2 linked regions of the Drosophila melanogaster genome follow. The protein of the gene in region 2 interacts with the protein of the main gene of each other region in a pairwise test. Each region holds a gene or a part of one and is shown on either strand. Other genes may lie near its edges.

Region 1 (4,633 bases), on a different chromosome or scaffold from region 2:
CGTTTCGCCTTGCCATTGACCTCGCTTGGGAAGTCGAGCTTGAGATTGCTCCAAACGTGCCACAATTGAACTTGAGTTGCTGCATTCGTCGTACAACTGGCTCGTGCAACTTGCAACTGCCGCCTGGCAGCGGCACAAAAGTTGCATTTTCCATTTGATTAATTGACGCGATTGTTACTGGCAGGTTTCCTTTCGGTTTTTGTCTAGCTACAACAATTAAATTGAAGTGGAAAAGCAGACTGTGTGAAGGTAAGTGTGTGCGAGCAAGTGCATGTTACTTTAATTGAAATCATTGTTGTTGCGGCGTCTGTTGCTCTGACCAAAATTAAAACAAATGCGGCTCAGTTGCGCAGACAAAGCCAAAAGCCGCAGTCGAACTCAAAGTCATCGTTTTGCTTTCTTTTCAAGTTTAATGAACGTTGAGTCCGGGCGATGAATGGTGGGTGGTTGGGGATCGGTTGGGGAATGGGTGGTGGCAAGGCCTTATGATTAGCGCCAGTTGCGGCATCGAAGGTTGCTGATCTGTGGATTGCATGCCACATTGCAGCTGCAGCACTAATGGAAAATGGTAAGAAATTGAAATGGAAAAGGGGAAAACGCCAATGCAAATGCGGCGAAGGCCGCCAAGACATTTTGTAACACCAAATTATTTTGATTGGCTGTGAATAAAAATTTATTCCGCTTTTGAGGTCTGCCTTTTGATCGACCACATCGAATGTGAGGCAACAAATTGATGTGTGAATCAAGACGAGCGGGAGATTTGTGCCCTTAAAGACCATAAGCTCCATCGATGACTAACCTGTCCACAATCTCGTCTAGCTCTTTGGCCATAGCCCCCGCATCGATTCGAATATCAATCAACAACGCCCACATCGAGAGCGACAAAAATGGCAGTTTGATCTGTTGATGCGATCATAATCGGTGTGATTGAATGGTCCAATTACGCTTAGCGGCTGACATAATTAGCGTGTAATTATAATTGTAATGGACATGAATACGTGGATAGCCGCGAAGACCCTGCAAATTGGATGGGGCGGCTTTGACAAAACGCCTCGTGCGACTTACATCACCTATCACAATATCGTTCCATCATCCCATCATGCCACCATGGCCACTTGGGTGTGACTAAGAAGCTATGGACTGCAGGTAACCCGAGATGCCGCATATAATTTCGCACACATGCCTGTGCTCCGTGCCAGCTTTGGGTTTCTTTTCCACCTCAATGCGGATGAAATGCCATGCGAATGGAATATAAACATACAAAATAAAATGACAAACGCGAGAAGCAGTCACAAAAACGAAAGTTGCTCTGCGCGGGCAATTGTTTGCAATCGAGACATTTAAATAAATTGATAAGCACTCGGAAGCATTTGCATCGGGCGAACAAGTTCGTTGCCTAAGTCTTTCGTTTCGATGTGGTATCTCTGCTGTTGTTTTTGTCGTTTCCCTTATCGCTGGCATTGCTTAACGAAACGCTAACAATGACAATTAAATAAATACCAATAATAACAGTAAACTGCTGCAGCAGCAACACAAGTATAATGAACTTGAATTGGCATAATTGCCACCGCTAATCACATTAAAGCCAGATACAAAGATTTGATAAATGCAAAGAAACAACAGCCAAGCAGCAAACAACAAGACAAAAAGCAACTGGTTATTCCGCCTGGCAGTGAAACAATCATAGGAATTAAAATAAGATGCAAATGATTGCGTCACTGCAGAGTAGCGATATGAGGGGAGAAATATAAACTTAAAATGTGACAATGGCACTAATGTGAATAACTAACAAGTCGAACAGGGCAATGATTCCCCTTTTTAGATTATGGAAATAAAGGCAGATAATTTCAATGTGATGAACTTAAATAATTGTTAAATTAATAAACATTATAAAATTCAAACTGTTTTCCCATTTCGCTTTACTTTTAGGCGAACTATTTAAAGTATACAAAAGTACTTGTCAAAAACGTTTAACTGTTCTTGAAAAGTGTGAGAATTGGTTGGGCAAATTTGAAAAAATCAAGGTACTTGCTTTGCTGTGCCAATTTCAAAGTCGCTAATTGAATGGAACAATGAATTGCTTTTAGAAATCGCCCATTTCGCTGGCAATAAATTAGAAGCACAAACACCGAAAATAATTTATGAGCAAGCCACAATAATTGGAAGCCACATACGAAACCCGTGTAGTTAAAAGGGATGGAGGGCGGGTGCAACCAGCGCCCATGACAGGTGGTGTCGCCTCAACCACCCACCCCGTCTATTTGCGTTTGTATTGGTTTATGTGTGTGTTTATGCCGTGACGCAGGCCCAGCTTCGACTTCAAACGTCAGCCTGCAATCTTTCACTTTTTTTTCGTGTCTGCAGCCGCGGCGTCGGTTGTTCCAGTTTTTCCGTAGATTATTTCCCCAGCATCGCTATTATTTTTGTTATTTTCGCCTAGATTATACACACGCGATACATGGAGTGCTTATTCTAGGCCCTTTTTGACACACTTCTTTGCCGTTTATGTGTATTTCTATTACTTTTACGCATATATGCTAAACAACTTTCTTCTTCTGGTTGCAAAGGGGCGCGCTTTGTGCAAAAGTATTTATCATAAATTTTACACACACGCAGGCGCACACCGACACACAAACACACACACACAGAGCGATAGCCCCAGCGAGATCCAAGCACACATATTGCATACACACACACAGGCATAGAAAAAGGGGAGAGCAGATTGTTCAGTTCGCAAGGTCCATGAATCCGGAATTCCAATTCTGCGCTTTATCACATTTTCGGCATTATTTGTTGTGCCTCCAAAAGTCTCTTCTCCGAACAGCAGGTTTCGAATATTGGGAATGTAACAAAATTTCATTACCAAACACAACCACTCATACACAATCAGCACAGCACGACGACACACACGGACGCGTTCACTCACACTAGCACAGGTTTCGAGCCGCTTTTCTTTTCGATCCGTTTCTTTTCCGTTCGGCTCGAGCGCGATCACGATCGATTTGAGACTAGTTGCTTTGCTATTCGCGGAATGGAATCCGCTCTGAGTCGAGCTTTGTTGGGGGTAAAGCTTTTACATAGCTCCAAAAAGCTCGCTTCGCAAAGGCAACTGCGCGTGCCCACCACTACTATCGATAGCCGTCCACGGATCAGCCTAGGAGTTCCAGTAATCGTTAAAAATATTTTACTCTGGTCCCCGTTGGAAAATCTATAATTTCATTTGTTTTTTTTTATAAAGCCCTCGGCTACACTTCCTTGCTATAACTATCATTTCAGCTTAGCATTTTTAATAGTTTTAATTTATATAAATATTTATATAGAAAGGTTTTACAATTTTTTGTTCGTAATCTGCTGCGATAGATCGATAGGTGTTCAACGTTTGAACTTGAACATCGTGGTATTTTCAGGCTCTTCACCTGCGGTCTCACTGGCTGCAACAATTATCGAAGAAACGATAGGTTGAAATTAATAACAAAAGAGTGCAAAAGGGAAAACGCAAAAAGTTATGGGGAACCAATTGGCTATACAGATGAATAGCGATGAAGACGACGATTTTGATTCTTCGGACAACGAGCTGGGCTTCAACGTGATCAACTTTACGGTGAACGCCATGGATCTGCGCTCCGATTATTGCAGCAGCGAGATGCCAGTTATACGAGGCAAGCCCGATCTAGTTAAATTTCAGGTAATGACGAAATACCCCGTCCCCAGATAACAATTAATAGTAATTTATTGCCCACGCAATCTTCCAGAAAACTGATATGTACAAGGAGATCCAGGCGTCGAGTGGATTAGTGAGCAATCCGAACAATCGCTGGAACCTGGTGCACGCCCTTCAGCAGCGTGAGAATGGGTTGGCATCGCCGCACAGCGCATCGTTCTCCAAGAACCAGCAGCGCTACATATCCAATCTTTACATACCAAACAAAAAGGCCACACGCCTGATGTCGCTGGAATCCAAAATATTTGTGACCAAGTTCAATCGTTCGGGCAGCAAGTTGCTGACCGCTTGTCAAGGTCAGCATTCATGATTAACGCTTCCGATTGGCATTAAAACACGATTTTGACCCCTTCCAGATGGCTTTGTGCGCATTTACGATGGCGCCAAGGGCACTTATCACCTGCTGAATCGCATCCGAGCCCGCGATGTTGAGTGGAGCATCATCGATGCGGATTTTAGTCCGAATGGCGAGCACTTCGCCTACAGCACCTGGTCCCGCTCATGTAGGTACTCCGCCCAATCTGTTTATCCACACTAAGTTGTTTTCCCCTTCAGTGTTCATCATGCCCGTGAATGGGGGGGAAGACGACTGCCAGTGGATCGATGTCAATGGACTGCCAAGCCATAGGTTGGCCATCTTCTCGCTGCGCTATTCGCCAACAGGCGACAAAATCATCGGGGGCAGCAACAATTCCACGGTCATCGTGACCGACATTCGCACAAGAAACACACAGATCCTGCGCACCCACCGCATGCCCGGCAAGGATGTTAACTCGGTGTGCTTCCTACACGATAAGGATCCAAATGTGATAATCGCCGGCTGTGACGACGGCCTGCTAAAGGTCTACGACCTGCGCACCACCTTCCGTTCACGGGACCTGTCCAAGTCTGTGGCATCCTTCATCGGCCACT
Region 2 (4,659 bases):
TGATAAGCATTGGGTTTAACACACCCGCAAATGATTTAATTTCCCTTCCATAATATTAATCGGTATACTTATTATAATTTATCTTAATTTATCTTGCAGTACTCACCCGTCATAGGCATATCCTCGTATTAGATTGATTCCTCTGGAATCGTGTGAAATGTGGATTGGATGATTGTTGCGCTTGGTCGCTGGGAAAATTAGATGACCAATGCTAACTCGAGACCCGCGGCAGAAACACACACGCCTGAAGACTGAGCAACTCTGTGTATTGTGTAAATTAATTATTTTAAAATTTTAAGGCACGGCAAGGACGGCGGGTCACCTTGGAGCGCATCCTTAAAGGATGCTGTACAAAATACTATGTCGCAGAGTTCTATCACAAATAAACAAAAGAAAAACAAAACAGAAATAGTTACGAGAAACGTAAAAGGAAACGAGAAATCTAATTGCTAATTATAAATTACATAGTTCCAAACTGTATATAGCTGTAAGTGTGCATTATTTTTAAATGACGCAACTTAATATTACTATACGTAAACATGACAAAGAGATCATTGTGCTTATGGTCTACTATTAGAGCAAGTTGAGAAATTATATTTCTGTTGTCAAGGAGCAGAGTCGTTTTATTATATTAAAATTATTACTGCATACGTATTAGCCTTTTGTTAACTGTATTTGTTAAGTGTACATACATATGTATATGTTTCCCCACTAAAAAGAAAATATGATGAATAATAAACTCAGAACATACTTATGTGTAGCGTACTCCTGTGATATAATTACATGACTTTGTGGATGGGATTTTAATTTGATTGATTTCAAAGTGTGAGTGGTAAGTTGCCAGCTATTTTTCCAGTTTTTATTTCCAACATTGTCCAATTTACAATTTTTTGCTGAATTTGTAGCATTTCGTTTCATCTTCAGATGCACAGCTGTTAAAAATGCACATATATTTCTGTTCCTTGAAGAAATCTCAATTGGAAATGTACCGAAGGGGAATAATTCATCAAAGCTTGATGATTTTACACTTTGATGATATCCAGACTTGCTAAAAGCCCATCGTGTTTCTCAAGCATCTTTGTTATTCAAATGGAAACCATGTTATGAATTGAAATGCAGAGGTACAGGTGCTGTCAATAGATCAATTTCCGCTACAGTAAATGGTTTAACATTTATTGACCAATTGTGATTTACGTGTGTCTATGCTACAAAGCCCATTACTAGTTTCAATCGAAGCCTTGACTGATTGACCCGGGCCAACAAACAATTTAGACCTGTAATTTTAGAAATTGCTACCTCACTAATTGGATGCCGAAACGACAAATAGTGGAACACACCTCCAAAATAGATTGATACACGTTCTAAGAGAGCGGCCGAAGAGAGAACCACCTGTTAGCTCTGATTCAATGTCAGCTTATTTGCGCACTGGTAGCTTTGTCTTCTCTTTGTGTTGGAGATCGAGGCTTTTGATTTTCAACGCTTTGGGGCTCCCCCCGATGATGACGTCGACACTCTCTTTTCTCTTCGCAGGTGTGATATGGTACGCGTGGCGATCGTCGGTTCGTTGCCGAACGAAAGACGAGCACTGCCGAAGTTTCTAAGACGGTTCCATTGGTCCGCTCACTTCGGAAGCGATATTCCGGCAGTTTGTACTCGCAGTGCGTGTCGCTAGGTCGTCGCTGGTCGCTTATCGCTCATACGCCCCATGCTTTGGATATAACTTCACCGTTAAACCGAGAAATTTCGGAATGCGAAAAAAGTTTCGGAAAGCAAAAGTTCAAAGCAAATAAAAAAAAGTTCAAGCCGGGGCTTTAAGGCCAGCTCATCGCATTTGTCGAGCGGAAATAAGTGTTAATTAAAAAAAAATGTATGAATCTATTTTGGCCGAACGTTACGTCAATATGTCATGTGAAAAAACAGCATAAATTTTAGTCCAACATGTGTTTTGCCATTCAATAAAGTAAATACAAGATTTGAACAACCAGAACCCATTCCGAGCTGGAATAATGGTGTCAATGGGTAGTGGCTGCGCATGACTTACCAGGCTTACCTGGCTTATCAACCGTTATACCGCTGATAGCAGATATATCCAAATAAAAAATTATTTTAATGTTTTAAAATGAGTGAGAGGGACAGCATAAGGGGCTAACCCTCGCTTTGACCAAAGGCGTCGCCCTTAGCTTGCAGTTTTATGTGTGTATTTCGTGTTTTCTGTGCTCTTATGCTGTTTTTTCGCAACATCGTATGTTTCTTTTTCCCTTCATCGCCTTTTCCGCATGTTTATCGTACCTATGCCTTACACTCTCATCCCGATACAGTCGATTCATTCTCTCACTTTTGTGAACGTTTTTTTGGCAAACGTTGCGTGTATTCGCCTAAACTTATTATTTAATGGACGTGTATAAATAAGTTGGCAAATCGAACCAGAGTGAAAAGCGTGTGTGACCCACTGAGCCTAAAGTGCAATTTCTACCGTATATATATTCTAGCAGCTGCAAAAGATGGCCACAACCTGCATGCCGCATTTCACGGAATATTTTCAAACCACCACCCAGTCAGAGTTAACAACAAATGAAAGTGCCAACAGCAGAAGCAGCAGCAGCAGCAGTGGCTGTAGAGAACCGTCCAAAACCAGTGGCTTCTTCTACAGCGCCAGCACACATTACCAGAGCAAAGTGCAGCAGCTAATCAGCTTCAGCTTCACCTCATCGTTCCACCTGCTCTTCATCACCTGCATACTGAGCATCAGCAAATTCTGCAATGCGGCGGCGGTAAATGCCGCCCATGTGACCGCTGCCACGCCCACTGCCAGCGAGATAATGCACAATCTGAGCGGATCGGCGCTGCTAGAGCGTCTGAAAGCCAGTACTCTGGGACCCACCCTCGATCAGCTGAAGCATCTGGCTCCTGCGGCAGCCAACAGCATTAGTCCTGGTACAGGATCTGGCATGGGAATCGGGATGGGACACTTTGGCAGTTCCATTAATTCGGTGCTAAACGGAAATCCTTTAAAGTTCTTGAATGTGTCAGGAAAAATCGGCACTCCTTTGGACATATGTAAGTTTTTACAAGCCCATAAAAATGGTTTATTCCTAGAAGTTCTAAATGCTAGAGGTATTTGTAGTTATAAATCTTTTAGTCACTCTTTTTATCAACTTGTATTTATTTTTATGATTCATGAAAGGCTTAAACATTCATACATATTGCCGGCGAATTATTAGAATTAGTCAACTATTAACATCACGTCACAAATTAAGCTTTCCATCATATCAAAACTAATCATTTTTGTAAGAGTTGCCGTATTTTAAATATCTATTAAAAAGCTATGAATATAAAATTCAAAACTAAAGTGCAGAATAATCAAAATTTAAACTGAAAAATAATTTAAATCACAATATACTTTGCAGCCTTAATTGAGAGTTGTAAACACTTAAGGCTCGTAATCATGGTTCGACTTTGTCGGATCTTCTTCGATTTCTCCGAGTGTAAGGGGATGCGGTGTTTATAGTTGGTGGCTCCAACTCCAACTCTCTCATTTCTGGCGATCATGCCACCAGCCATGTGTACATACGTATGCATACCCCGATTTCCAGTCCGACTCCGATTTTAGCTAAGGCTCCGACTCCGACTGACTCGGCTCAAGTTTTATTTATGTGAATTTTGTTGCCAGCCGAAAGCCAAAGCGTCTGGCAATGCCAGTAAACTGCACTTCCATTTCCATGTCCCAACATTCCACATCGTCATACGATTTCCAGACTGCAGAGCTCTTTCCCTTTTCTCCCCATGCTCCGTGCTCTTTTTTGTCGGCAGAAACCTTTTACTTTCCTCTACAACTCGCCTCTGCTTACACTGTAATAAAAGTTCCACTAAAACTCATGCTTAAAGTGACTAAAGTACCGGGATAAAATCGAGTGTGGCATACTTTTTGGCGTGCTATATATGACATTAAAAAAAAGGGTTCTTTAAAGTTCAGAATTTATGCATTTTCTTTCGGTGTACACTCTTTGCTTGTTCTGCTTCCCCTTATAATTATTCCATTTTATGCTTATTTTTTGTACCGGCCGGCATCGCTACATGAAGCGAATGGAGCGCCACTTGAAGACTTAAACTCCGGCGGCTCTTGTGAAATGTACAGAGAGAATACCGAGAAAGAGAGAAGAGGAGAGAAACCGTGGTAGACGGGGGAGCAGAGAACAAAAAGAGCAACAAGTGGCCGATTCTTGGAGTTTCTTGGCCTTGCACATTGGTCAACGTTTTTTTGTAAATCGATCCGAGCACGTGGCAGATATATGTACATTCTACTCCAACATAAACTGGAAGTAGCTCGACTTATTTATAAACATTTGTTGTTACCAAGCTGATCTCGATATCTATTTTGATTATCCCCCACCCAGAAGTAATTCAAGCACTTTAAAAAATATGGCTTAGCTTTAAAAAAACATAAACAGAAGATTGACTAACGAAGTAATTTTAGCTTCAAACGCGGCTGTTTGTAAATGACATTGAATAAGCAGGCAGTTTACATAAAGGCCTACGTAAAACATTCAAAGAACATTCAAAACATTCAAACATTCAAATTGGTAAGAAAATTGCTGAATAATCAATTATTTGCGCAAATTAAAAGTACAGTGTAGAACCAAAAATACAATAGACCCTGAT

Evidence for each region.
Region 1: the proteins of LpR2 (region 2) and Hil interact in a two-hybrid assay, tested with the Drosophila melanogaster proteins (one large-scale study listed by BioGRID).

The regions. Positions count from the first base shown.
Region 1 is NT_033778.4:20,615,204-20,619,836, forward strand, and holds the start of Hil (hillarin), read right to left. Parts: upstream 3,015-4,633; 5' UTR 2,864-3,014; intron 1-2,863. Other genes in the region: CG9945 (uncharacterized protein), read left to right, coding at 3,506-3,685, 3,753-4,017, 4,078-4,224, 4,277-4,633. UniProt on the Drosophila melanogaster protein: May act as a modulator of septin function during cytokinesis in the developing nervous system.
Region 2 is NT_033777.3:25,737,453-25,742,111, reverse strand, and holds the start of LpR2 (lipophorin receptor 2), read left to right. Parts: upstream 1-1,646; 5' UTR 1,647-1,867; intron 1,868-2,489; 5' UTR 2,490-2,501; coding exon 2,502-3,057; intron 3,058-3,422; exon of another isoform or gene 3,423-4,085; intron 4,086-4,659. Other genes in the region: LpR1 (lipophorin receptor 1), read left to right, coding at 100-132.